7 linked regions of the Rattus norvegicus genome follow. The protein of the gene in region 3 purifies or fractionates together with the protein of the main gene of each other region. This does not show direct contact. Links are inferred from orthologs where the notes say so. Each region holds a gene or a part of one and is shown on either strand. Other genes may lie near its edges. The genes, in order: Rbm42, Vcp, Serbp1, Dnm1l, Tsr1, Larp7 and Hnrnpu.

The links.
Region 1: the proteins of Serbp1 (region 3) and Rbm42 purify together in Homo sapiens (affinity purification with mass spectrometry; 3 studies listed by BioGRID and IntAct, with this or other methods). This does not show direct contact. The link is inferred for Rattus norvegicus from reciprocal best matches to the Homo sapiens genes SERBP1 and RBM42.
Region 2: the proteins of Serbp1 (region 3) and Vcp purify together in Homo sapiens (affinity purification with mass spectrometry; 3 studies listed by BioGRID). This does not show direct contact. The link is inferred for Rattus norvegicus from reciprocal best matches to the Homo sapiens genes SERBP1 and VCP.
Region 4: the proteins of Serbp1 (region 3) and Dnm1l purify together in Homo sapiens (affinity purification with mass spectrometry; 3 studies listed by BioGRID and IntAct, with this or other methods). This does not show direct contact. The link is inferred for Rattus norvegicus from reciprocal best matches to the Homo sapiens genes SERBP1 and DNM1L.
Region 5: the proteins of Serbp1 (region 3) and Tsr1 purify together in Homo sapiens (affinity purification with mass spectrometry; 3 studies listed by BioGRID and IntAct, with this or other methods). This does not show direct contact. The link is inferred for Rattus norvegicus from reciprocal best matches to the Homo sapiens genes SERBP1 and TSR1.
Region 6: the proteins of Serbp1 (region 3) and Larp7 purify together in Homo sapiens (affinity purification with mass spectrometry; 3 studies listed by BioGRID). This does not show direct contact. The link is inferred for Rattus norvegicus from reciprocal best matches to the Homo sapiens genes SERBP1 and LARP7.
Region 7: the proteins of Serbp1 (region 3) and Hnrnpu purify together in Homo sapiens (affinity purification with mass spectrometry; 3 studies listed by BioGRID and IntAct, with this or other methods). This does not show direct contact. The link is inferred for Rattus norvegicus from reciprocal best matches to the Homo sapiens genes SERBP1 and HNRNPU.

Annotation. Positions count from the first base shown.
Region 1 is NC_086019.1:95,033,181-95,037,183, forward strand, and holds the start of Rbm42 (RNA-binding protein 42), read right to left. Parts: upstream 2,801-4,003; 5' UTR 2,706-2,800; coding exon 2,566-2,705; intron 2,349-2,565; coding exon 2,213-2,348; intron 600-2,212; coding exon 515-599; intron 419-514; coding exon 344-418; intron 1-343. UniProt on the Homo sapiens protein: Binds (via the RRM domain) to the 3'-untranslated region (UTR) of CDKN1A mRNA.
Region 2 is NC_086023.1:62,022,588-62,026,855, reverse strand, and holds the start of Vcp (transitional endoplasmic reticulum ATPase), read left to right. Parts: upstream 1-1,468; 5' UTR 1,469-1,679; coding exon 1,680-1,696; intron 1,697-4,268. UniProt on the Homo sapiens protein: Necessary for the fragmentation of Golgi stacks during mitosis and for their reassembly after mitosis. Involved in the formation of the transitional endoplasmic reticulum (tER).
Region 3 is NC_086022.1:97,744,835-97,748,334, reverse strand, and holds the end of Serbp1 (SERPINE1 mRNA-binding protein 1), read right to left. Parts: intron 2,571-3,500; coding exon 2,397-2,570; intron 2,374-2,396; exon of another isoform or gene 2,049-2,373; intron 2,009-2,048; exon of another isoform or gene 514-2,008; intron 303-513; coding exon 246-302; 3' UTR 142-245; downstream 1-141. UniProt on the Homo sapiens protein: Ribosome-binding protein that promotes ribosome hibernation, a process during which ribosomes are stabilized in an inactive state and preserved from proteasomal degradation.
Region 4 is NC_086029.1:98,130,397-98,134,593, reverse strand, and holds the end of Dnm1l (dynamin-1-like protein), read right to left. Parts: intron 3,556-4,197; coding exon 3,361-3,555; intron 3,211-3,360; coding exon 3,101-3,210; intron 1,180-3,100; coding exon 1,020-1,179; intron 736-1,019; coding exon 679-735; 3' UTR 501-678; downstream 1-500. UniProt on the Homo sapiens protein: Functions in mitochondrial and peroxisomal division.
Region 5 is NC_086028.1:60,257,298-60,261,589, reverse strand, and holds the start of Tsr1 (pre-rRNA-processing protein TSR1 homolog), read right to left. Parts: upstream 2,801-4,292; 5' UTR 2,765-2,800; coding exon 2,668-2,764; intron 2,509-2,667; coding exon 2,405-2,508; intron 1,851-2,404; coding exon 1,631-1,850; intron 1,528-1,630; coding exon 1,393-1,527; intron 593-1,392; coding exon 168-592; intron 1-167. Other genes in the region: Sgsm2 (small G protein signaling modulator 2), read left to right, coding at 3,962-4,018. UniProt on the Homo sapiens protein: Required during maturation of the 40S ribosomal subunit in the nucleolus.
Region 6 is NC_086020.1:218,677,309-218,680,808, forward strand, and holds part of Larp7 (la-related protein 7), read right to left. Parts: intron 2,060-3,500; coding exon 1,935-2,059; intron 1,280-1,934; coding exon of another isoform or gene 1,277-1,279; coding exon 1,155-1,276; intron 1-1,154. UniProt on the Homo sapiens protein: RNA-binding protein that specifically binds distinct small nuclear RNA (snRNAs) and regulates their processing and function.
Region 7 is NC_086031.1:92,615,781-92,619,766, forward strand, and holds the start of Hnrnpu (heterogeneous nuclear ribonucleoprotein U), read right to left. Parts: upstream 2,801-3,986; 5' UTR 2,634-2,800; coding exon 2,021-2,633; intron 1,210-2,020; coding exon 1,098-1,209; intron 1,010-1,097; coding exon 936-1,009; intron 1-935. UniProt on the Homo sapiens protein: DNA- and RNA-binding protein involved in several cellular processes such as nuclear chromatin organization, telomere-length regulation, transcription, mRNA alternative splicing and stability, Xist-mediated transcriptional silencing and mitotic cell progression.

The sequences.
Region 1 (4,003 bases), on a different chromosome or scaffold from region 3:
CAGGGTCTGTCCCCCCTCAGTGGTTGTATGTCATGTTTACTATGTGACAAAGCTTGCTTGTCAGAGGGAGGAAAAGATGACAAGCATAGTAAGCAAACTGAAGAGCTTGCTGGAAGGTGCCACAAGTTGAGAGCCTTGTCAAGATCTGTAATGACAAGTGCAGTGCTAGACTAGATCCCAGAGGATCGGACTGAGTGCAGTGACTCGAGACAGTACAGAAGGACATGGTCAGGGATGTACTATACAAAGTTTCAGGATGGAGAAAGGGATCTACAGCAGGGCAGAGCCAGAGTTTCTAAACCTAAACGAGTGGCCAAAAGTGCGGTCGCGGTCCCCAACCTACCTGCTCGCCTCAGGAACATGGCCTCTCGAGCCTCAGGACTGTCCAGGTGACTTCGATCAGCAGGGCCAAAGCCAACTGTGGGGAGGAAGAGATGAGGATGGTGGAAGGCAACCTCTGGGCACCCCTTTTTACCACTCTGCCTGAAACAGGGCCCCTCATTTTCTTACTTACCTGGGCCCACAAAAGGAGGGCCTCCCACCATGGGAGGAACTACTGTGGCTGCAGCAGCTGCCCGGGCCTCCAGGGTCTGTTGGACCTATTGGGGAGAAGGAGTCCTGGCTCAGAGATGCTGGCTCCCGTGGCGGGCTAATACTTTTACCCTTTGTTCTATGTGGCTGGTGAGCAGTCATGGTCAGCTACAAGGCCTCCTCACTGGGGTGTCTGGAGCCACACTAAGTAAAGCTGTTTGTGTTGGTTTTGTTGGTCTTTCAAGACAGGCTTTCTCTGTGTAGCCCTGGCTGTCGTGTAACTCCATCTGTAGACCATGCTGGCCTCAGACTCACAAAGATTCACCTGACTCTGCCTTCCAAGTGCTGGGATTAAAGGCATGCTCCACCACCGCTTAACAGCTTAAGCTATTACGATGAATAGCTCCCAGGATCAATGTCTCTGACTCAGTTTTCCTATAGTCCTAATCTCCAATCCAAGAACCTGGTCCCTGTCATTTCTGAGAGCAGGTATGTTCAGGGCGAGGCTGCAGACCCCACACTATCTCAACTGATGCTGACTTGTCCTCCCTGTTTTCCACCTATGCCTTACCTAGATTATTAAACTCTTCGATCTCCTTGAACTCACCCTTGCCCTCTCTAGTATATTATCCGGATAGCGAAAGCCACTTGCTTAACCTGTAAGGTGAACCATTACCACCTATCGACTTAGAATTCTCTAGCAGTTCCTCATTTTCAAAGTGAAAGCTAAGAGTCTTTAAGGGGCTCAGAAGACCCTGCTAGATCTAGCTTCTATTACTGTCTTAGTCTTCTCCGTGTTCCCTTTTGTTCTCTCCTCTCTGCTGGTGCATGAACAAGACGACCACTTTGTCTCAGTCTTGGTACGGATGGCTTTTTGCCGGGGATAACATCACTCCAGATATCTGCATGGTTTCACCATCTCATTTATATCCTTGCTTTACTAATGCCAAACCAAAAAGGCCTTCCCTGACTGCTAATAACTCTGCCCTCCTTACCACTTTGTAAGGCCAAAAAAAATCAAGAACTTCTCTGTATTGTTTTCTCCTATACACCCTCTAGTTAAAACAGTGCCTAGTGCAGAGAAGGCACTCAAGACCTGCTTTTGAACCCCCCCTGCCCCCAATACAAGGGATTGAACCTATGGCTTTGGCATGCCAGGCATGAGATCTGCCACTGAGCTGCATCCCAGCCCACCTAATAACTGTGAACAGAATTAACAAGTTTCTTCTGCTGGTGTTCATTTAAATAGTTCCTCCCTCTTTCCTTCTTTCCACAGCTTCTTCCTGACAGCTGACTGTTAAGCACCCAGAATATTATCAACGAGGCTTGGGAATGACTTAACACAAATATACAATTTACTATTATTTTGGTTGTTGTGGTGGTGGTAGGGTTAGAAAAATAGGGCTCTGCAGAGGCTAAGTGCTCTACCACTGAATTACATCCCAAATTTGTGAGTAAAAACTTTATACAGACCATTCTACCACTGCAGAAAGTTCTATCAGACAGAATGCTGTAGAACCTAGTTTCCAATGGATTAAATGTACTGCCTTGTACTCTGAGTCCCTGGCCCTTAAGTTATTTGTCATGCCAGCCAAAACGTCAATCGCTCTCCTCAGATAGACCCTTATTGGGATCAAACCATTGTGTTCTCCCAACTCATAAGCTGCAGCTCCCGCCTTACCTGTTGATATGTGTTGGTGGCGATAATTGGGCGGATCACAGGTGCTGGGGGAACCTGCATCGCCTCCACTGTGGGCACCGCAGGCACAGCAGTTGGGATTCCGGTCACCGGAGCTCCCAGTACTTCTTGCTCAAACCTGGGGGTGCGGGACAGATACCATATGTCAAGTCTTACTAAGCCTGAGGCGCTGGGTACTTTCCACAGCGCCTTCATCCCAACCAACGCCTCCCCCCGTCCCTCGGGTCCCACCGCCCCTTATGGAACCACATCTCAGGCTTCCGAAAACCTGGAGGCTGCAGGGTTGAGTGGGTTTGCCCGGAGACAGCTTTTATTTTTCCTACTCAGGGCCTTACAGGGCCATCTCCGCCTCCATTTCTTTCAAGCGTTCTTCGCCGCTCTTGCCCGGGATGCCGACACCAGGCCCCGGGACCACGGGCCCTCCCGCCACCGGGAGTCCCGGAGCTGGTCCCGCTCCGGCCATCGCTGATGCCATGGCCTTCGCCGCTCTTTTCAGCCGCAGCCGCGGGTTCTACGGTCGAGTCCCTGTCCCCTCAGGGTGGGAGCCGGCCGATGACGTGTGGATTACCGCGACGGATGCGCTGCGTGAGGACGTAGTTTAAGAACAGGGGCTAATGAGACATGGCCACACCCCCAGGACGAGCACAAGCCAATTAGAGTGTCGGAAAGACAGGTCCCCGGAAGGGCCTCACGTCTGACAGTCGCAGCGTTAGGGCAGGCCACGCCCTCGTAGAGGAAGGTAGGCGAATGAGAGCGAAGCAACGTCACTTTGACCCACCCCACTGTGGAAGCCGGAACTTTGAGGAGGCACGGAAGTTCGGAGGCCCTTCCAAAGTTTGTAAACACCGCCAAGTTAGGGTAGCGGTCTCCTGCCCTCCGTTAACAGATACACTGCCAGGGGTCAGTTCATTATTCTTTTTTAAAACAAAATTTAATTTTATTGACTGCCTATATTTTCTTTTTCATTTTGGGGTTTGGTTTGGTTTGGAGCCCAGGCATGAAACTCCCTAGGTTGCTTTGAACTATTAGAAATCTTCCTGCCGTAGGCTTTCTTTTCTTTTTTTTTTTTTTTTTTGGTTCTTTTTTTCGGAGCTGGGGACCGAACCCAGGGCCTTGCGCTTCCTAGGTAAGCGCTCTACCACTGAGCTAAATCCCCAGCCCGGGCATTTTTTTTTTTTCTGCCGTAGGCTTTCAAGTGCTGGGATTACAGATACAGAACAAAAATATTGGATTTTATACTAGAGAGATCTAGAAAGGATTGAAGTTTTTTTAAAAAAATTTTTTATTATATTTGTTTTTGATTGTCTGGCCTGTCACTTGATATGTACACCAGGCTGGCCTTGAACTTAGAGATCTGCTGCCTCTTTTTCCTGACGGCTCCACTAAACCCGCTAACATTTTCATGAATTAAGACTCATGTGTTACTCTAATTCCTTTTATGGTTACCTAATGCCCCTATTCTGTCTCATCATCTGACCAGGATGCCACATTCCTGTTCCATTTAGTTGCTGGATTTCCACCGGCTTCTCTAACCAGGCACATGTTTCAGGAGTGTTGATTAAGTATTTTGTAGCATGCTCTTCATTTGGAATTTGATGGGTTTTTTAACGCATTGTTAGACGTTAGACTGTTCATGAGTCTTTTGGAGACCACAGGAGCCTGGGAAGACTGTCTAGGTGACTATGGACTAGTCTCTGTCATTTTAGTTGATACATAAGCCAAGGAGATTATAATTTACCCTTCTCAGGTCCCTGATCACATTGACGGCTAGGC
Region 2 (4,268 bases), on a different chromosome or scaffold from region 3:
TTGACTATAATGAAAGCCAGTTAATTGTCTTTTGGGGCACAGGGACCTTAAATCACAGCACATGGTTGATCTTTCTTGCTCTTGGGCACTACTACGTTTGCTATGTGTTCTGCAGTTGTCCTTGACTTTCTTGAACCTCAGTGCGCTCCCTCTCCAGATAATATTTATACTCTGTGTTAAGGAGTACAGACTCCCAAACCCTGAGGAATCACAAAGCCTGCATCATTAGAAGAGAGTGCAATGGCAATCGAGTGGATTAAGAGCTGGGGTGCTGATTCAGAACTCTAGGGTTCAGAGAGGAGGGGGTGGGGTGGAGCTAGGAGTCTCCATTTTCTTTTTTTCTTTCTTCCTTACTTCCCTCCCTTCCTCCCTTTCTTCCTTCCTTCCTTCCCTCCCTCCCTCCCTTCCTTCCTTCCTTCCTTCCTTCCTTCCTTCCTTCCTTCCTTCCTTCCTTCCTCCCTCCCTTCCTTCCTCCCTTCCTTCCTTCCTTCCGTTCTTTTTTGTAGACCAGAGTCCAGCTATGCAGCATTAGCTGGCTTCAAACTGTCAATCTCCTGCCTTTAGCCTCTGGAGTACTGAGATCTAGGGTGTACACCACCATACCCACTTGTTTTTGCTTGTTTTAAAATTTTATTTACTTAGTTTTGAGTATCATTTGGCTGGCTGGAACTCTTTTTTATAGGCCAGGCTGACTTAAAACTCACAGAGAGCCGCCTGCCTCCGAAGTGCTGACATTAAATGCATGTACTACCACACTGCTTTTAAAATTTATTGAGATACTGTTTGAGACTAGAATTATAGCTATGTGCCATTACGCCGACATGGTTTTGTTTTTCAGAAAAGGTCTTGTATCCTGGGTTGATCTCCATCTAATAGTCCTCCTGCCTCAGCTTCCCAATTGCTAAAAATACAGACCTAGCCCATCCACCACGCCCTTCGTTGGAGCCAGTGTTTTAAAGGAGCACGAAGGATTTTAGTATGGTGGAGTAAGAGGATCCCTAGGATTGGCGAGAAATGAACTATGTGGATTATTATTACAACTCAGCTAAACTAATAAGGGTTCAAGCCTTTGTGCGAGGTTCTCCCAGCTGCTTATAAACTAAGGAGCCAATCAATTGGAGCCAAGTAGAGGAAACCTCCTTCGGAGGGATAAAGACTCTCCTTTTACCAGAGGATCTGGCCTATTGCTTTTGTCGATTGGTCAAGACTCCCTATGCGTCGAGGAAGCGTAGTGCTACGGCCAATTGACGTGGCGTTACTAGGCGTGTTGCAGCCTTGAGGCGGGGCTAGGCCACAAACGAATTTTCTGATTGGTTATCGTCTGTGGGTTGCTGGGGAGAGGCACGGAGAGGCGGGCACGAGTCCTAAGGCAGTCGCTGATTGGTTGAGGTTAGAGCAGCTTTCCTTCCGATGATTCGGCTTTTCTCGGTTCAGTCTCCGTGAAGCGTTTGCAGCCGTCGTTTGATTAGTCGCCTCTCGCGGATTAGGAGCTAGCGTCTCCCGCCCGCCTGCCGCCCCGGTGCCGCTGGGAGGAAGCGAGAGGGAGGCTGCCTGTGGGTTTGTCACTGCTGTTGCTCCTCCACCTGAGTGAGTCAAGCCCGGGCCTAGTCGGTCGCCTACCATTCTCGTAGCCGTTACCCTCAGGCCGCCACAGCCGCCGACCGGGAGAGGCGCGCGCCATGGCCTCTGGAGCCGAGTAAGTGTATGCGCGTGCCCGCCCGCCGGCTGCGGGGGCGCGCACCGTGGGACCTGCCGTGCTGGGTAGGCCCGGTCGGGCCGCGTCTGAAAGTCTAGGCCGGGAGAGAGAGAGAGACGGAAGGAGAGGCAAGGGGCGAGTGAGGGCCTCGGGCCGGGCTGTGCACCCGCGCGCCCCCTAGGTCGGGCCCGCGCTGGGCCTGGGTCGGAGCCTGGACAAGATGGTGCTGTGTCATGCAGGCCCCGGCGGCCTGAGTACCTCCCTCGGCACGCCGGCCCCGGCCTAGTTAGGCCTTAGGGTCCACACTCCCCGCATGGAGCCCTTTGGCGCTAGGACGCCGGTCGGCCATTTCGCCGACCATATACAGAAGACCCCGAGCCTGAGAAGAGAAAACACTGCGAGCCTGAGGCCCGGACTGGGCCCAGTGGGCGTGGACTTTGGGCCACGTGAAGGCCTCAGGAGCCCCAAGACTCAAGGGAAGGCTGGGCCGGAAGACCTGGGGGAAGCCCAGGCTGGTCTTGGTGGATCTGGGACGGTGTTGCCCGAAGTTGGCATGTTTTGAACCACATGTAGAGAGAGGGCAGGTCATGCCTTTCTCAAATGGCAGTTTTTCACCTTGTTAGGCCTGTTGTAAACACCCGGAAGTTTTACCTAGTTTTATTGTTGTTGTTGTTATTGTTGTTTTGCTTTGTGTATTTATCTTTGTTTTTGCTATGATCGGAAGTGGCTAGAAAGGAGGTGTTTTTCTTTTATTTTGAGGTGCTGAAGTTAGAATTCGGTTGTTTTTCTTGTTTTGTTTTGTTTGTTCTTGGCTTGGAGAACTTGCAGGTTAGAGTTGGCTTATCTCTTCAAAAGAAATACATCTCTCTCCCCAAGCATCTATGCTGACTCTCTGGACATTATGGCCCCACCTTCATCTTTCAGAAAGCATCAAATAAAATTTAGCCGTCTCAGCCCATTTAGTTAGAAACTAGAGCTTCCCATACAAAAACAAAGCAAAACCAAATAGCAAGTGTAGGGAACTATAAGATCCCGCTGTTTCGAGTGGTTTAGGTTTCATTTCCTTCGGATGAAGTATTCACTCAGTTATTTGGTTAAAAGAACTATTAATATTTTAAATAGCTAGGGTGGGTGGTATTTTGTACACCTTTAATCTCAGCACTTGAAAGAAAGGCAGAGGAGCACGTTACTAGACTAGCTACTCTGGGAGTCTACGCATTCAGGCCCTGTCTCAAAAAACAACAAAATAGACTTTTAAAATACTGTCAGTATTTCAATTGTTGTTTTTTTTTTTTTTAAGTTAAATTTTTTTTGTTTGTTTGTTTGTTTTTTGAGACAGGGTTTCTCTGTGTAACCCCTGGCTGTCCTGGAACTCACTCTGTAGACCAGCCTGTCCTTAAACTCAGGGAAGTCTTTCTGCCTCTGTCTCTCAAGTGTTGGGACCAAAGGTGTGAGCCTCCACTGCCCTGTGGTTTGTTTTTTCTTTTTTGAGATCAGGGAATAATGTAGGCCAAATTGACTTCAAACTCAGCCTTGTGTTTGAACTCCTGTCTTGCTGTCACTACCTCCCATAAAATGGGATAATAGGAATGTCACAGTATGTTCCACTTAAATCTAGATTTTTGTTTGTTTGTTTGTTTTAAAATTAGAATTCCTAAAATCTGGCATCGTGGGCAGTTTGTATCTTTAGGTCATCTTGCTGATTCTTACCTGAATTTCCAAGTTCCTTTTGTGGTCCTTGAGTTCTGGAAAGAACCTGAGTCATGCAGATGATGGGAGGAGAACATACAGAGCTGTAGTTGCTCCTCAGCTCTTTTGGAGTTACTGACTCTAATCTCCACAGGATTTTGGAGAATTACAGGACTTTAAGGGCCAGGGTCTGGACAGGTATGTAGATTGGAGGTTCTCCTGAAAGGCACTTTTGAGAATAAAATACAAAGTGATCACTTGAGGTACTCCTGTAAATCAAGCAAGAAGATGAGCAGCCTCTTGGACAAGATATTTTCATAGATAAGAGGCAGTAGAAAATTTGGTGGGTTTACACACATTTATTTTTGGAATCAACAGCATTGTGGCCAAAGTGACATAACTTTTGAAGGAGACAAGAGCTAAGGAAACTCCCATTACTCTAAAGTAATGGTTAGAGATGTAACAACATTGCTGAGTGTGGTGGTGCATGTCTGTGGTTCTAATAGAGACCGGAGGATCACTGCAAGTTCAAGGTCATCTTGGTTTTACATAGCAGGCAGAACTATATATAGCAAGACCCTTTTTTAAATAAGTGAGGGTAAGGTATTTCTTGTGGCACTGCTTTTTTTGTTTGATTTTGCTGTCTCATCTCGCCCCTAGAAGAATGCTTTGTAGACATCCATTTATCATCACTACTATTCTTGAAACAGTCTTGCTATGCAGTTTAGGCTGGCTTGGAGCCTTTTGCCAATTACTGAGATAACAGGCATGGACCATACTATGTCTGGATTTCATTAATTTGTTGAAGAAATAGTTTTTCCCCTTCATTTGCTTTTTCCTTTGTTAGACCTCTGTTTCAGTTAATATTCATGCTTCTCAAACC
Region 3 (3,500 bases):
ATTATGAAAACATCCCTGCTACCAATACATTTCTAAATACAAAACTGACTAACATATTTGTTACTTCTGTGTAGCTAGAGAAGTTCGTTTTCAAAACAGATAAAATTCAGTCTTTAGGTGTGAATGGTATGAATGACAGTCTTTTTTTTTTTTTTTTAATTCTTAGTTGTTTGGGATCCTTAAGCATGCAAAAGCTTTGAACAGGAGGGTCCACAAAGGAACCAGTGTTGTATTATGGCATCCAGTTAGGCCAGAGCGGGGAATGCCTCTGGGTCATCTACATCAGGAGCAGAAGCACTTGACTGGGGAGGGAAAAAACAAAAACAGAAGATTAGCCACAATTTTCAAATCTTGAAAATAGCCCACTAATGTCCATACATAGTATAATGTTAAGACACCATACAAAATAGATCAAAGCTTCTACTTTAAAAACAAAATTATAAACCAGAATAAAACTACATATACTTGCAAAGAGACTCTTCAATGAAATATTCTAATTTATCTGACATGCTAGGGATCATATGCAGGGCTTGTTGTACATGCTGGGTTATGTGTTTACCAGAGTTACATATTCCCTTCCTTCCCACCCTCTTCAGACAAGAGTTTGCCATTTGTAGCACAGGCCACGGTCAAATTCATGATCTGACCCATCTCCAAGTACTGGGATTATGGTTATGTGCTACCACGTCAAGCATACTTATGATTTCATATAAGTAAATTCTCATGGAACATGTGGGTTCTCACTTTACTAATTTTATACTTTTCACTTTGCAACATAATAGTATTATCAATATAAAAGCAGGCTTAATCATTGTGCAATTATCTAAATAGCACATTCAATGTGAGAAAAGAATCCAATTACAACCTGAGGGGAAAAACAAGTTATTGAAAAATCCTCTTCGGGGATTTAGCTCAGTGGTAGAGTGCTTGCCTAGCAAGCGTAAGGCCCTAGGTTCTGTCCTCAGCTCCGGGGAAAAAAAAAGAAAAAAGAAAAATCCTCATATATATGAAACCTTCATCTTTAAAAAAAGAGTCAGGAAAAAGTATCACGGATCACAAAACCCATTGCATTGCTACCACACCACTATATGCAGCCTCTAAAGCAGGTAGGGTGGTGGTCTCAACCTGTGGGTCATAACCCCTTTGTGATTGTGTTTGTGTAATGAACTTTTCACGGGGGTTAAATACTGGAGATCCACATTACAATTCACAACAGTTCGGCAAAAATAGTTATGAATCAGCAAGAAAAATCTTATGGTTGAGTGCTCACAACATAAGTATTAAAGGTCTGCAGCATTAGGAAGGTAGGGCTACTTAAAAAACACAAAACAGAGAAAAACAATTACTGAACCAGGTGTTGTGGTGTGGGTCTTTAAACCCAAAACTTGGGAGGCAAAGGCCAGCCTGGCCTACAGAATGGATTCCAGGACAGACTGGTTGTAAAATGAGACACAGTTTCAGAAACAAAAAAGCCCCCCAAATAAAAGTAAGATTTCAGGGTTCTGTGGTTTATTCCAACTGGACACTAAGATTATTCTTAATACTGTCAATAGGCAATTTTGAATTAAAAAACAACCCCTTGGGTATCTTTCAAAATTCTCACTGAGAACTTATTTTAGAGTGGGCATGGTAAGCAAATAGTCAAACTTTGGGAGGATGAAGCCTGACCACAGGTTTGGGAACAGCCTGACAGAGCACCCATGAACAAAAATATTGAATTCCACGTTTTTGTTTTTTTTTTAAGACAGAATCTTTCTGTGTAGTCCAGGCTGTCTAGAACTTATCTTGTAGACCAGGCTGTTATTGAACTTTCAGAGATCTGCCTATACTAAGAGCATATGCCACCACCACCTGGCATGAATCCCATTCTTAAATCATGGCATAGACTAGTGTCTCAGGAACTTCTGCAATCCTAAAATTGTTCTATACCTGGATTTACTCAGCAGTGAGGATATCCCTAAAGTAAAATTAACACCTGCATGTAAAAAGTATAACAGCATCCTGACAGGTAGAGAGTAAGAATTCAAAGTATAACAGCATCCTGACAGGTAGAGAGTAAGAATTCAATAGTATATTCAACTTATTGGTAGCACTACTCTAATCATTAAGGTACTTAAAAAAAAAAAGAAAAAGACGCATACATAAGGCCAGATGTGGTGGTGCATGGCTTTAAACCCAGGGCTCTACAGGCAGAGGCAGGCAGATGTGAGTTTAAAAATAGCCTGGTCTATATAGTGAGTTCCAGGCCTGCTAAACCTCCACAGTGAAACCTTGTCTCAAATGGTGTTTCTTGTTAATTCTTTATTTCTGTTTATGCCCCTTCCTCCAAAATATCTAGTCAGTAATCTCTTACAAATCTTAAACTGCTTAAAACAGAAAAGGCATCTTAAAATCACCTTATCAGTCCTGCTGCCACGATTAGGACGACCACCACGCCCACGTCCACCACGTCCTCCTCTGCCACCACGTCCTGGGCGGCCTAGGTCTCCAAAATTGATCTCCAGTTGAGACGTTATATCATTTGCTGGCTTCCGGAAATGATGGTCCATAACTGAATCTTCCGCATGAGCCTAAAATGTTAAGTAAAGCCCCCTGGGTAATGAATTTTTAACCATGCTTTCTCCCCTTAGAAGACAAGTCATCAATCCTGTACTCTGTGTGCATGAACATAACTACTATCTAGCTCAACAAGTAGTAAGTTCATTTGGGACTCAGGTAGTAACCATCTTTAACAAATATCTCTGAATTCCAGGTGATACCTGCCCTTGAATACTGGCATATAATGCAAGTGACAAGTTCCTACTCTAGTCCTGAATCTTCAGCAGTATTTGTAACATTTAAAACAGTTCCTTCAAATTGGGACTCCAATATGAGGCATGCAGTTTCTATTTGAGATTAATCTGAGGTTTGTTTTTTTTTAAATCTATATTCTTCAAAACTAGAACCTCCTACCCAAGGATGAATGTACACAACTTTAAGCTTCATTGTTTACATATGCAATTACATAGGCTGAACCTACCTACCTCAAAATACTAAATTTTTTGTTCACCATGATTTTTAAATCATGGTGCTCTGTGCAAATATTCCTCAATATGAAACATATTTGGTTTCAAGCATTTTAGACAAGGATTACTCATCCTTCACTGTTCCTCCACCTAAATTACCCTAAGTTCAAGTCAAACAGTACAAACTTTACATTAGAGACTCTTCGAACTATAAATTAATCCACTGAAGACTTTGATAATAAGGTGTTACAAAATTAAGATCTTTATATATAAGCTACATGTCTCAGCATAGAAGTAATAAAATATGACAATTTTAGAGTTTTGATTTCTTTGAAAAAACACAGAGATTATGGGAATGTTTTTGTTTTGATCCCTGGTATGACTACTTCAGATTGAACACAGCAGCGGCTGCAAACAGTTTATACAATTTTGACATTTGGAATTCTAGGTACTTTTCAGAAGATATATAAATTCTAGGACCCCCAAGAGGCGGGG
Region 4 (4,197 bases), on a different chromosome or scaffold from region 3:
AAGAAAGTTCCTAATAGTTATTTTTAATGCAGGAAGTCAATTTATATTTTCAGGCTTATTTTGAATCAAAGCATATTTTACTTTCTAACATTAGGGCAGTATAGACTCAGGAGCCATTAATTACACAGTCTGTTCCTACATCTTTATGAGTCTTTCAGATCTTATATTTTTCCTAAAACTGCAGAAGTTTCAGAATTTTGTTTGTTTTTTAAGACTATAAAAATGAAGGATAGGTGGATACATTGATTATGTGAGGAACTCGCCAGGCTCCACCTTTTGAAGCCAGGTCAGTCTATATAAATAGTGCATGCATTATAGTCATGAAATGTCCTGGAGCTTCCTCTTTGAGGACTACGGCTGCAGCTTTAAGACTAAAAAAAGGTTACGCAGGTCATCATATGCACAGGCAAACTGCTTTGTACAACTAGAACATCAATTGTTCTTGTAAGTTTGACTGAAACGGACAGACTTGATATACATCATAGGAAACTTGAAAAATGTGAATTAAACATGTGATTTGTCTTGTAATGAATAATATACTTTTCAGCTTATAGCCAGTCTTCACACAAGCAAATTCATACACTGCGATACACAAAAGTCCATAAATAAATTTCTACTCAGGTAGGCAGTAGCTAGTAGGTTCAAGTCAGCAAAGTGTAGAAGACCAAACAGTTCTGTTCACCAAAGATGAGTCTCTCGGATTTCAGCAATAATTTGACTGGCTCCTTGTAATGCCTGCATTAAAAGAAATAAAAACTCAAGTTAGAATGTTAATCTGAATTTTATAAGAAATGTCTCCATTTTCAATGCTTAAAAAAAGAAATTAAAAAAAAAGAGCAGTATCTTTTCTGAAATTTTAATCTAATCAAATATGAGTGTGAAGGGGACAAGGTCAGAGTGTAACTTTAATATCTTGCACGTGTATGTGCACATTACAGGGAGACAGATCGAGAACAGTTTCATTTGCACGTGTATGTGCACATCACAGGGAGACGACAGATGAGAACTTTCATAGTCACCTTCAGCATGTCAGCCGCTTCTTTTCTTCGCTGTGCCATGTCCTCGGATTCAGTCAGAAGGTCATCTAATAAGGATGACTTATACAGCTGCCCTACTAATTCACTCTGAAGAGTATCTTTCACATGATTAACCAAAAAATGCATTACTGCCTTTGGGACGCTGCAAAGCAAGGTCAAATCATGAACTTTTGGTAACAATTCTATTTTCCAAAATTTAGCTCAGTGGTTCTCAACATGTGAGTTGCAATGCCTTTGGAAATTAAATGACCCTTTCACAGGGGTTGCATATCATATATTCTGTATATTAGATATTTACATTATTATTCATAACTAGCAACATTACAGTTAATAAGTAGCAACAAAGTAATTTTATGGCTCCTGTCACCACAACATAAAGAACTATGTCGCAAGAAAGTTAAGAACCATTGATTTAGACTTTAACTAGAGTATGGCTTTGTAATGAAGTTAAATAAGAACACTGAATATTTAATATACTCAGTAAAATAGATACTCTTCAAGTATTCATTTAATGAATCAGTAAGCAAAGTCACAATGCTTGATATTTTAACTTCAATCATCCATATCCCATATATACACAACAATGATCATTACTCTCAATAGCCCAAACTGAAATAATAAAATATTCTGAGTAATGAGTAGATATACAAAATATGGTCTATAATACAGTATTTCAGTCAATTGTAGAAAGGAAGTCAATTGTAAAAAGGATTCAGGCTGTATGAACAAGCTTTAAAACACACTGACAAGTAGCTGAGATTTAAGGCCTGATCTACAAGATAAATCCCATACCTGGCATCATTACTGGGCCACAAACTTTTGGCTAGACAGATCAAAGAGACCCCAGCCAGAAGAGAACCTACCACTATTATTATACTTAATGGACAAAGCATTCAAACAGTTCCTAACGACCTATTGTTATAGCCATCAATTATACATCTCTCAACCTTCATCTGAGAAATCGTTGCTTATAGTGATTAACAGATCCACAGTGGCCAAGATGCAGAGAATAAGACATACAACAGTCCATCCTAAGTAGAGTACCTATATCTCCTCCCAAGAATCAAGGACCATTGCAGAAGAGGTGGTGGATGACAAGGAAACATTTCTGGACACAGTAGCGCAGCTGCACATATGAACTCAGCACTTGTGACAGCATGCACAAGACTGGTGCAAGCCTAAACCAGACCACAACTCAGCATGAGTAGAGAGGGGTATGGAATACAAAGTCTCATCCCCAGCAGAGGAGCGATTGGCAATTCTCAGCTGCTGGGAGAGGGTCAAAGCGAAGCTGCTAAGAGCTCAGCCAAGCTCTAGTAGAAGGCTACACACTAGTAATATCAAGCAGCACAAATTGGCCTTGATTGAGGAAGGAAAAAACAAACACAAATTTGGCTAAGAAAGGGCAGAGATCTAGGAAGAGTTCCAGGAGGGAGCATGAAAAGAATCAAAATACAAAGAATTCTCAAATATTTCTTTAAAAGGGGAGGGACACTCACAAGTGACAAAAGCCAGACAAAAGGTCACATGTTATTGTGTTCCCACTAGCATGAAATGTCTGATTGGCTAATTCACAGGCACCTTAGAGGCAACCGGACAGGAAGTTATTAATGACAAAGGCTGTACTTTACTTTAAGTAAGGTAATAAAATGTAAACCATGTAGGCTACTAGAACATAAGAATGTTTTTCAGAGTACTGTGGGGATTGAATCCAGGGCTTCATGAATACTAGACTAAACCACTGTGTACTACTCAGTGGACCCACACTGCTACTCTTTGATTTTGGTTTTGTTTTGCGATGGGTGTAGTGAGAGTTTGTATGTATATCTGTGATCATTCTGCTTGAGGCTCAATCTTCCTGACCTGTGATTATGGACACTGCATTCCTACATCCTTGACTTTTAATTTTATTCAGCCGATATATAATATTCTAATTCCATGTCATCTTGCAATCGCAGTTAACATTAATATTTAGAGTCAAAGGGAATCTAAAGATTTTAATGTATGATTTTTTAAACATCAAGAACTCACCCAACAGTATTTACATATTAAATAATACTAACCTGTCTTGAATATTCTTTCTGACAATTAGAAAATATGATTTGATGAGTCTTTCAATAACCTCACAATCTCGCTGTTCTCGGGCAGACAGTTTTCGTGCAACTGGAACTGGCTAAAAGAGGTAAAAATATTACTTCTATGCTATTTTGAAATGGCAACATTAAAAGTTAAAGATTTTGGTGAATTTAATTTCTTCTGTTTAGAGAATATCTGCTGTTAACTTGGTACACTTGTAAATTTAAACAGAATTGTGGTGGCTTACCACATCTAGCAAATTGACAGCATGGCCTTTTTGTGGACTTGCTGGCATAATTGGAATTGGTTTTGATTTTTCTTCAGCAAGTAATTCTTCAGCTTTTGAAGTTTTCAGCATTCCTCTCCAGTTGCCTGTTGTCGGTTCCTGACCACCATCTCCAATTCGACCACCATCTCCAATTCCACCACCTGCAGATGCAACCTGAAAACACATGTTCCAAACCTATACTCTGTATATTTAACAACAAAAGAAGTTCACTTTCTTTGGTGGCAATCTAGAACCAATTTTCTCTGCTTCCTATATGGAATTTATCCAAACAGATAATGAAGTCCAGAAATAATGGTGGCATTTGTCACTAGAAACTTGAGAGATTCTGTTTGAAGCTGTCTGTAAGCCAATAGCCAAACTCAGGTCCTATTTAATTACTTTTTATTCATTACTTTCCAAAATTTTTTATCTTTCACCATGCCTAAACACTAAATTAAATGCACACACAAGAAACAGAACTTGCCCTTGGTTTCATCTCATCAAAATAATCTTCAACACTTAACACTGACCTCTGACCTTACAGTCCTGGAGCTTATGGTTCTACACAGTTCTAAACCAGTTCACTATAGTTCTGACTGTCCTTGAGAGTCAACAGTTAAAGTAGACCTTTAATAGAAGAAAGACTACACCATAGACTGACCCGACTATCGCATTACCAAGCTTCCTAAAATGTGAAATGTAACGAGCACAGCATACTCTGATCCAGTGAGAGAACCCACTGTTACTCTCACAACCTTCTAAGAGAAAAAACTGCCTTCTTACTATAGTGGGAAAAATAAAACACACATCAATGTT
Region 5 (4,292 bases), on a different chromosome or scaffold from region 3:
ATGCTCTGAAATTTAAAAAGCAGGGTGGCCCCACAAGGCCTTCCACACTCGTAATATACCCCTCTCCAGCACACAAAAATAAATTCAGTAAAAAAATTAAAAACAATCTCAGGCAAGGAATGTAGCCAAGTGAGTTAGACTCCCAGAAATGGAAACACCAATCTTACCTCCATTGACATGCTTGGTTTCTTTTGGGATTTAACCACTCTAGGATTTAAAGGGAAAGGATCCACAGGCGCGTCTATTTGATTCATTTGGAAATCACCATGTCCAACAATATGCAGCAAACTATTTACATTCAGAGTCCTCCCTCGAATGTAGCCTGAGATTTTCAAGGTGCCCACTAAGTCACTCTCCTCACTAGGCATGAAGTCAGCATCATGGGCAAACAAGTAAGCTCGCCGATCCCGAAAAGCAAGATGCCTTTGCTTCTGGTTAGCCAACTGTCTGAGTAACATTCCTGATTCTTGCTGGGTGTCCAGCAGCAGGAGTTTGTCTTCAGGAAAGCGTTTCTCCACTGTTTTATTTAGCTTCTTTCTGGCATCCGTTTGTCTCTTTGGTGGGAGACTAGGAAGTCCCTGGACAGCTAGCACTGAAAGAAGAGAGAAGAACTTAGGAGCTTAGTGCTCCACTGCTTGAAGATCCCTCTCCAGTTCTTCATAAACCTCCCAACAGCCAAAGAAACGTCACAATGAGTGTTAACTTCCTAGTCCTTTCCTGGGCACAGGACAGCCCAGAAATTAAAAGTTCTCTTTAATAATATGAAAATAGGGCTGGGGATTTAGCTCAGTGGTAGAGCGCTTACCTAGGAAGCCCAAGGCCCTGGGTCGGTCCCCAGCTCCGAAAAAAAGAACCAAAAAAAAAAAAAAAAAAAAAAAGCTAGGTGGCAGTGCACATTTTCAATCCCAACACTTGGAATTGGGTGGTAGGGGGCAAATCTCTGTAAGATCAAGGTTAGCCTGGTCTACAGGAACAGTTCCAGGACAGTCAGGGTTACATAAGAGGAACTTTTTGTCTCCAAAACAAACAAGCAAACACCACCAAAAACTAAAATATATGAAAATAATGTTTAATCTGGACAAGTATAGCCCAGGCCAGCAGAATTCAACTCCTTGATTTACTCCTAAACCAAGTGTTAAACATTACGTCTCAAGGACCAGAGCTGTTAAAAGATAAAAGGATTAAATGCACTGACTGCTCTTCCAGAGGTCCTGAGTTCACATCCCAGCAACCACATGGTGGCTCACAACCATCTGTAATGAGATCTGATGCCTTCTTCTGGTGTGTCTGAAGACAGCGACAGTGTACTTATAATAAATAAATAAATCTTTAAAAAAATGAAAGGAAAATTTACTTTGTTTTCTGGTCTCACTGATACTAGAACACACTTACTATAGGTGGGAAGGCCCTGAGCAAAGAGGCAAGATAGACAATAATCCCCAGTACTGTCCCAGCCTTCTAATGGGTCCAGGAGGAACAGGATGGTATCAGCAACTTTAGCCATGTCTAATAGTGTATGCAGATCCCCTGTATATAAAAGACACCGTAAAAAAAAAAGATAGTTAGCACATTGTAATCAAGAAATAGAACCACTTAAACATAAGAAGAGAAAAGGATTAGATCCCCTAACCTGGTCTTGCATATGTGAAAGACCACCGATGTTTCAAGCTAGGGCTCAGAAGCATAAAACTATGGGTGCTTCCCCGTTCATTCAAATACACTGTTCCCAGGTCTTCGTTCTGAAGCAGTTTAAATGCCTCTGGAAGGCAAATCCTGTTGTGCAGAGGCACCACCAGCACCTGATGTGGAGGCCCATCCTTGCTGCCCAGCTGCCTCTTCTCTGCCAGAACCTAGGAACACAAAGATTCAAGAATATCTCAATCATTTGCTTCACTAGTCATTACATCTTCAAAAGTACAGATGCTGCAACCCCAAAGCACAACTGCTCTCCTTTCTGTTGCTCTGTAAAAATACTAAGGGAAATTTATGTAACGTAAAACATGAGAAAAGATCGGAACAGCCAGGTGTGGTGGCCCAAGCCTTTAAACCGGACACTCAGAAGACAGAGAGGATCTCTGAGTTCTCAGCCGGCCAGGGCTACCTAGTGAGATCCTTTGTTTAAAATCATCATCATCATCATCATCATCATCATCCTTCTCCTCCTCCTTTCCTCCTCCTCCTCTGCAAAAGAGCAAGTCCGTATAAATGAAGATAACCAAGCATTCTCTTGCCTCGTGTATGTATGTGCTGTCAAGGAGTTTGGAGGGGCGTCGTACTAAGAACACGGCCCGAAGGTACCCTGGGTTTACCCGTTTTCGGCCCATTTCCGTGTCACATTTTTTTAGTTTGAGACTTTACCAATCTGAAGCCATGGCCTCACCGCTTCCCAACCCCCACTCCTCACCGCCTCCCTCTTCTGCTTTCGGAGCTGGCTGGCGCGATGCCTCTGGTCTACTCGGCTGAGCTGCTTCTTAAGCTTCTTGCACAGGATTTTCGGTCCTACACGACCTGAAAGGCAGATCAGAAGTGGCTGTTCTCCTCACGGTTAAATTAACAGACAAGAACTTCCCTAAGCTCCTTAAAAAGAGTCTTTGGCACGAGTCCCAAGTCTAATCTCCGGGCACGGGTATCGACTAAGCAGCCCTTCTCCCTCCTCTGTCTACGCACCTTTGCTGTCCCGTTGTGCGGACCCACCGCCGTGGTGCCGCCCGCCTTTATGAGCTTTATTCTGCTGCTTCAGCGGCCCGGAGCGGTGAGCCGCCATTCTAACTGCCCACGTGCACCGAGTAAACACTACTTCCGGGCTGACCCGAGCGTTTCCGGCCCGCGAGAGGGACTTGTCTTTACGCTCCCGTGACCTCTCGCGAGGTTTTTTTCGCCAGCCTGCGAGCGCGGGGTACTGAGTCTCTGCGGACACGTCGTGGTAACTTTTCCCACGCTGCAGTCGTCTGCTGAGAGCTGAAAGACGCCGGTAGTAATCTCCCGGCTTCGTCTCTTGATTAGAAAAATCTACTTTGCTCTCATCTTCCCACCTTTGCACCCTAAAGTTACATCACATGGGAAGAAATAAAAGTAGATTTTCCACGCCGCTCTCTCCGGTCCCAATGAATTGTATAAAGGAATAAAACGTGTAACTGGGTATCCTTTTCTTTCCTCTATGACTCTAATTCCCAACGCGAGTCACTTAGAAGGGACTCGTGTCACCGGCTCCGTTCTGTCTCTTACTCCGACTCGTGCCCCTCTCTCCCAACAATTCTGCAAGATGAACAAAAACCGGACGTGGAGACCCGAAGGAGAGCGAAGGCTTCCTCTTGTGCTCGGGCACCTGCTCTTCGTAGCTCGTGGTCGGGTTCTTGCTTTTCTCCTGCAAGCGTTGCGACTAAGAACTGCTGGCAGGCCACAGGATCCGGAGGAGTGACAGGATCATGTTCGAACCACAGTGACCCAGAGCCGAGACCTTGGCTCCTTAACGCCTCTCCGAGGGGCCAGGAGTAGGGAGCGGTTACTGTGGTTTAGGTTAGGCCAGAAGTAAGTACCTCTTCAAAGTCTGCCCGCTTGTGCAGTGGCGAGAGGCTGACTCCCAGCGCTCACAATGCGGGTTCGCGCCCTCGGGGCGGGAGCGGGCCGGTCGCCATGACAACCATCCCTGCGGCGCGCGCCCGGGCCCGACGCCCCCAGGCGTCCGCACCCGCCCTGACCCCCCCCCCCAGTCGCAGCGCACACACCCCCTCCCTGCCGGCTGTGGGAAGGGGCCGGGCCTGCTGCCTGACGTCTGCGGGGCTCGGAAGATGGCTGCGGAGCTGAGCACCGGGCAGTGGCTGCGGCGGCTGCAGGCGGGGAGTGCAGCGGGCGGGGGCTCCGCCTCGCGTGTGGGGCGCTGAGTCGGGAGGTGCGGAGGCGGTGAGGGCGCACGGGGGCTTCGGGGGCCGCTTGGTGCCGCCTGCCCGCCACCTGCCGCACCATGGGCAGCGCAGAGGACGCAGTCAAAGAAAAGCTGCTGTGGAACGTGAAAAAGGAGGTACGGTCGGGGCAAGGTCTCAGGGGCTCGCACCCCTCCCTGGGCTGGCCCTCGAGCAGAGAGTTCGTGGCACCCACGCGCGCGGCCGCCAGCCCACCGTGCCAGGCGGGGGCGGGGTCCTGTTAGGGCCGCGCCCCACGTCCCTCTCTGCGTCCCTGGCAGCGCCCTCGGCCAGGGTCAGGCTTGCGCCCTGGGGCTTGTTTGCTCCGCCGTTCTCCCGCTCCCCGCCCTGTGACGGCAGCAACGCGGGGAGATCTCGGTCGGGGGAGGGGTA
Region 6 (3,500 bases), on a different chromosome or scaffold from region 3:
TTGTTAAATGTCACTCATTAAAACTAAAGAAATAAAGAAACTGTTTAGTATAGAATAGAATTTTCTAGGCACAATAACTCAAATTCTTTTAAAATGTTTTAGAAAAAAAATTGAGACTTTAGCTATTGTAGGATAAAAGAGTGTATCCTTTAACTGTGACGGACAAGAGAACTGCAGGCCTAGAAGACAGAAGCTCACCCTTAACACATGCTCTGTAAGACAGGAACTTCCATACTGAAAAATGTTTCCTTCATCAATCAAGGAAAAAAAAAAAGAGAGAGAGAGAGAGAGAGAATGAGACCTGAGAGCCTTCCAATGTTGTTACCCAGTTAATCATTACTACGTAAGACACAGCAAGAGACCAGTCTGCACTGAGTTGATGAAACTGTAATGGGTTTCCTATTCGTGGTGAGAGTTTTATAATCAGTTTTTCAGATAGTTTAGAGTACCACAGTTCAAAAGGCATTTACAATTTATCCATTATAAAGTCAGGCTAATATCCTAATTAAAAACCCATATAATGACAAATTAATCTGGTAATCAGTGACAGCAACAGAGCTCAGTTTTTGTTTCAGAACAACTAAGTAATTACAACAGGACTTTCAACTGTTGCATTACCAAATTCTCCTTTGTGTGCTTGGGACTGAGTCCAGGCCTCCATGCTTGCACAGCATTTGCTTACTGTCAGGTTATTAAGCTACATTCTGTATTGTTACCATGTTTTCAGATGTAAGCTAATAGAACCTGGGGTTGGCAAATACAGCTTGGTCTACAGAGTGAGTGCAAGGACAGCCAGGAATACAGAGAAAGCCTGTCTTGAAAAATCCTGCCAACCAACAAACAAAACATGCCATCAAATATCTTTATCGATGAAAAGCTCTTCAAGGCTTAACACTGAATACATATCTCAACAACTCCAAGGTCAAATCACTATCATTTTCCACGGAAGTACAGTCACCAACCATTAGGGAAACAAGAAAGGCAGGCGTTCAGGCTTCTATCCTGAGGAATTTTGGTATTCAGAGTAAAGCTAAGAGTTGTCAGAGTTACCCTGGACTCTCTTAGCAGTTTACAGAGAGGTACAAATTCTGACTAGAGTTGTTTTGTTTCCATACTATTTTGAAAACATGTCACATGGGGTTCATAAGTATTACCTTGACTTGTTTCCTGCCTGGGAGAGGGTCTTCGCTCAGGATCTTCACGATCACTCCAGTCACGAACTGCGGGCCCTGTGCACTGACCTTCTCCTGGGTGGAGCACTGCTGACCACTGCCTGCTGCTGTGAGAGGAAAGAGGCACAGGTAACTTCCTCACCCCTCACATTTCACATGAGAAGCACCATCCTCCAACAGCAGAGACTTCTCAGGCTAACTTAAGGAACTGAGAACTCGTGCAACTGGAAATTAGTATTAAGGAATCACATTGCTCATTGGAATCAATATGGAATAAAACGCATTATACATCTAAACCAAAGACTAAAAGTTGAATAGATATATGCCAATATAAACATAAGAATAATCAAAGCACACTACTCAAATGCGAGAATTTGTATTTGTATAATTTATAAGAACTTAACATCTTTACCAATACTACAGCAAGTGAGAATATGCTTTAATATGTTCCCACTTGGTGCACATCGCCCAGTAGACCTGCAGTCGCTCTTCCTCCCTCTAGGCACTCTGGAGTGAGCTCACAGGGGATGTAGGGAAAGAGTAGGCAGGCTGTTAAAACTTACTCGGTAATATAAACCTTCACATTTTTGTCTTTTCTTAAAAAATTTCTTTGGTAATGGTTCAGCTTAAACTGGGGAAGCACTCTATCACTGCTATGAAGCCACCCTTGAAAACATTTATAGACTAAAGCCTGCTCTTTGGTGTAAATAGCCAAATGACACTGCATGAGCTTCACCCTTTCAGTCCCCACTGCAGACTTACGAGGCGCTTTGGACTCTGTCTCCATTTCCGACTCCAATTTTATTTGAGATATTGTTTTTTTTAGAGAAGCCATGCTAGCTTTTTGCAGTGCCAAATACTCTTTTTTCAAATCCATCCATTCAGTCCTGTAAAACAAAAATTGAACTACTATAGTGACAAGACGACCCAGTCAGAAACCTGAGGTTGACTAGACATAATGCTCACAGTAACTCCAAGTCTTTCCCACTTTCCTTTTTTAAGGCACACATTTACATCATTTGTTAAGCCATAAATCTATCTTGCAAACACACAAAGGAAGTTTCTCTTCCTTAATACTCAAGGAAAATGCTTGAGGAGTTTCCTAGTTGTTTCTAATATTCAATTGTAAAATCACTTTTGAGTCACTTCCCTGAAGTAACAATTACTAAATCAGGCAACTTGCGGAAAAGGTAAGAGACTGAGATTCAAAGATTTCTCAAATTGCTTCCAATTTGAGAGATAACATTCCTTAGGATTTACTTAATTCAAAAGGAATTTCTGAGAAGAAAAAAACAGCCCGTGACAGCAGTTTATTTATTTACATACATTTAACATGTAGATGTGTCTTCAGGCAGCCAGGGCTCCCCCAGAGAAGCACAAAGCCTCCCGGGCTCTGTGGGGGTGCTCATTGTTACCCTAATCTGTGCCATCAAACAGGCAGATAGGGGATTTTTTTTAAAGAGGAGGATATCTTGTGGTAATGGTTTTAACAGTTAACATTGACATCTGTTTACTTCAAAAAAGGGGAAGAAAAAAAACCCAGACCTACCCTGGAGCCCCAGGATCTACTTTCCCTGGGAGCTGATACATTAAAATAACAAAGGCCCTGAACCGATTCTCCACATAGAAAGCCCAAGGACTGCAGGAGCTGGGAGTCGTATAAATACCAGGTCTAAAGTCGCCGTCTTCCACCCTCCGAGGAGAGCGAGGAAGCAGGTCACCAAGGTAAGGTGAGTCTGCAGCCTGGTCCCTTCACGGCTCCGAGCCAGCGCTCCTCTAAGAAGCTGCCGGGCGGGCGGGCTCCCTTCCACTTTAACATGGGAATGCTTTCTGTCACATTGAAGAGTAAGTGCTGCCATGTTTTAGTAGAAGTGAACTCAAGGTTCCCTGGAGGAGTGAACACCTTGGCGTCTGGTGGGAGTCCCCTCTGCTTTAACATGGGATTACCTGCCTCCATGTTTCAGTGGGGGTGTCTTCAAACTCTTCACCATTCTCTTTAAAATGCTGCAGTCAAGAGCCTGGCAACTTCGTAAGTATAAAGACTGGGCTTCCCACCACTTAAACGTGGTTGTCCTTGCTTTGGAACGAAGAAAGTAAGTGCTTCCATGTTTGGGTGATGGTAAGTTTTCCTTTATCCTCACGCCTTTAAGAACCTCACTGGAGTCTGCGTAAGGGGCCTCCTTCACTTTAACATGGAGGCCCTCGCTGTGCCTTTAAAATAAGTGCTTCCAGGTTTGAGTGTGGTGGCTCCTGCTTACTCCCTGGGCGGCATGAGGACCAAGGCCGTCACTGCTGCTAATCTGCAACTCTGTTGAGCACACACTGGAA
Region 7 (3,986 bases), on a different chromosome or scaffold from region 3:
TTCTTTTCAAGATGTAATTGACTATAAAAGGTATGTGGTTAGAAACCAGCCAAGTTTTACATAATTAACTCTCAGGGCTCTGAACACGATTTGTACAGGGAAACATGAGAACCCAAGCTTTTAACCCTTAACTTCCATCAAGTGAGGCCCTGTAACTACACACTTATTTGTATTTTTTGTTCTGCTCACAAAAGATGTTATTAAATACTAAACTAGTCGAATTTTTTTAAAGGATAAAAATACAAATCTGACAGCTAAAGCCCATTTCATGGTTTGCAATACTTCCTCATATTCAATTGCAACCCAGCTGGGTAAAGTAGCATATTTACAGCGCTGCCATTGATACCATTCGCTGCTGAAGAAAGCTAGTGGCTCAGATAGCCCACTGCTGCTGCCCCAGGTCTTTGGAAGAAATCAACTTATGTTAAAGCAGCAGCTACTGAACTGGAATTGAGAACAAAAGAGCAGTTATTGAAAGGTAATATTACAATCCTTAGAATAGGGAATACACTTGTGTGCTAATGGGAAGATCATTAGTAAGTATTCAGCTACCCCCATTTAGCTCACTTAATATAGTTCCACAAGAGAAAAGATTAAACTATATAATCTAAGGACAAGTTACAGGCAGATTTTTAAAATACAAGTTCCTGGTAGCTAAACGAAAATTATTTAGTTTTACATCCCTAAGTACTGAGAAGTTCCAATTCATAAAACTATTATTACCAATCACTAGAGCTTGATAAATCAATACAAATGAAGTGGTATTAATATTAAACGGTTATGGCCTTAGCATAAGCCACTACCTTCCTGCTTTAAAACAAAGTTCTGGTTTTCTGCACTTTAAGATCAACACACATCTTTCCTAACACTTAAAACCAAAAAAATAACACTGCACTTGAAAACGAGTAAAGAGCGGGAAAGTCCGCCTCACTTACAAGTATCAAGACAAACCACTGTGTCATCGAAGTGTTCGTCTTCTTCTTCAACAGGTGGCTGAGGAGACTTGGCTCTGAAAGACAGAATTGTCTCCTGATAAAACTTTTCCCACCACATATAAAGAATGGGTGACAAGTGAAAACTAGGTTAGGATTCTCTACCTGCTGTACTTGTTTTCTTCAATGTACTCAAAATATCCTCGGCCATGATCTTCCCGGGGTCTTTTAACACCTCTCTTTTTATCTCCAGCTTTCTGTTCTGTTTTGCCGTCTCCTATAACGACACAGAACACGGCCTTAAAGTACCAGGCTGAAAACTAAATGGGGGAAAGCACCTTTTCCTGTTTCAAGCCTCAAGAGCTGTTACTGATTTTCTTTTCAGACTGGTTCTGTGACTTTTTAAACCACAAATGAGAATTTAAAGGAAAAAAAAGTCTGGAATTGGACTGGAGACAGTGACGCAGTCTAAAGACGTTATGGATTTTGCCAGCCTACCGCAACCTTCCAGAAAGCATTTTTAAAATAGTTCAAAAAAATTAAAAAAAAAAAAAGCGCGACACCGCCCGGGCCCACGTGCGCGGCGCTCAAGCGAGAGGGAGGGGTAGCGTGGGCCCACCTCCCCTCCCCCACCCGAGCCCGCGTGCCCCGCCGCCGCATTGTACTGAGCTTCCGCCCCGCTCCCCGCGCCTCCCGCCGGAAGTGACGTCACACCGAGCCCCTGTGCTCCTTGCACAATACCGCTGCGCAGAGCCGCCAAAGCCCGCCCGCTCCGGGACCTTCGGGCTTTTCCCCTCCCCCCCCACATGTGCCCGAACCGCGCGCACACAGCGCCCCAGCGGCCGGCGCTCCTGCCCGCCTCGGCTCCTCCTCCCCCCCCCACCGCAGCAGCTGCAGCTCCCCCCGGCGCCCGACATACATAATGGAGGCGCCGCCGGCATGGCGAGAACCTCTCCGCGGCCCCGGGGCTCCCCGCCCCCACCTCCCGCGGCGCTCGCCCCTAGGGGCCCCAGCAGGCCTGGGGCACGGTCCCCACAGCCGCGCGCACCCACAACGCAACACTCACCCGCCACCTTCCGCCTTCTTACCTCCCGCCTGCTGTTGGCCCTGCCTCGCCCCTGGCGGCGCCACCGTCACCGCGAAGAGCGAGGTGGGGCCGCTGCTTTTCCCCGCGGCCTCCTTGCCAGGCCCGCGCTGCTGAGAAGCCTGCTGCGCCGCCGCCGGCGGTTGGGACTGCTGCTCCCCGTGGCCGTTCTCGTCGCCCGCGCCCTCCTCTTCGTCGCCGAGCTCGTCCTCCCCCTCCTGGAAGCCCTGGTCGTCGCCGTTCTCGTCTTCCGACGCCGCCTCCTCCTCCTCCATCGCGCCCGCGTCAGCCGCCCCCGCCGCCCCGTTCTCCTCGCCCAGCTCCATCTGGTCGCCGTCCAGAGCGGCAATGCCCTCCTCCTCCTCATCGTCTTCGGCGCCGGCCGCGGCCTCCTGCTCTAGGCCTGCTCCCGAGCGCCCGGCCGCATCGCCACCCAGGTCGAGGCTGCCGTTCCCGGGCTCCATGGCGGGGCGGCCTCCTGCCTCGTTGTCCAGCGCGGCCTGGAGTCGATCCATGAGATCGGCCTTGAGGCCCTTGTCTGAGAGGCGCCGCTTCTTGAGCTCCTCCTTCAGCTCCGACACCTTCAGCTTCTTGACATTAACAGGCGAAGAACTCATGGTGAGGGCCCGGGTTCACCGCTGACTGCTGGCTCCCTCGGCCTGTGGCGGCGGCTGCTGGTCGGCCCGGGCGGCGGCTGCTGCTGGAGATAGCTGAGTGCTGCTGCAGAACGGACCCGCCTGGTGTCGAACGGCGCCAATTCCTTTCACCGAGTTCGCGAGGCAAGACGCGGAGACTCGCCTGGCGCGAGCGAGCACGCAACGTCCTCTCGCAGGGGCGGCGCCGCGCACGTAATATAGGCGCCCCGCCCCCTGCCGAGGCGAGGCCCGCTAGGGCGACTGCGCGCGCAGGCCCCGCCCCGCCCCCACGGCGCGACCTCCGCGCTGGGCCGGGCCGAGCAAATGGAGGCTCTGGAAGCGGCCTTTCGGTTTAACGGACCCGCCGCAGTGGCCGCCGGCCTTTCCGGCTCTTGGGTCGCCGCGCTCCATCGGCGCTCTGTCTTCTGTATCCTGGAGGACGCTCTCCTCCATCCGCCTTCAGTCCTCACCTTGCATTTCCCACTCGAGAACAGCCTCCTTTCTTCCATCTTCGTTTAGGTTTTGGGGTTTTTTTTTTGTTTTGTTTTGTTTTTTGGGTCTGTCCCTCCGGCTCTAGGTTTAAAACCTTCAAGTTTCCACTGCTTCTCTGTAGAACACATGTAGGCGATTGTTATGCAGAGGTTTTTTGTTGTTTAGTTTTTCCTCCACTTAATTGCGGTTTAAATTTTACTAGTCGTGCCTTGCCAGTCGGACTTATTTTACGTTCCGCAAGGGCGAGGCCAGAGCCTTTCTTTTGTCTCTTCCCCAACCAGCGGTGCAAAGTCTGGGAAAGAGGCTTGTTGTGCTGCTCCGTGCGCCCGCCACAGCGCATAAAGCCGGCCTTGTGCACTACTGACCCTTAAGAAAGCCTTAGATTTGCATGGAAGTTTCCCCTCTATGTACTTACTGTAAAGACAGGCCTCTTGCAGGACAGTCTGTCCCTGCAGATCTAGTCCACCAGTTTTGAGATCCTGTAATTACAGATGAGTAGGACAACACCCAGCTAGATTATTCACTTTGATCTTCTCCCTGTTTTTTCAGACACTATAAACATGTTTGTATACCTGCTAAGTTGCCTACAAACTGGTAATAACAAAAGGCTGGGTTTTAGTTAAAAAAAAAAAAAAATTACCTGTAGTCCTATCACTTGGCAGAATGAGGCAGACATATCAAGAGTTAAAAGCCAGGGCTACTTAGTAAATTCTAGGCTACCTTGGGCTACATACCAGATCCTATCTCAAAAAATAGGAATAAAACTAAACTATCTGTTTTTCTCTTATTAAATATGTTGTGTTCTTGAAGCATATAGAATTTTATTTCTACACGGGGGCTTCC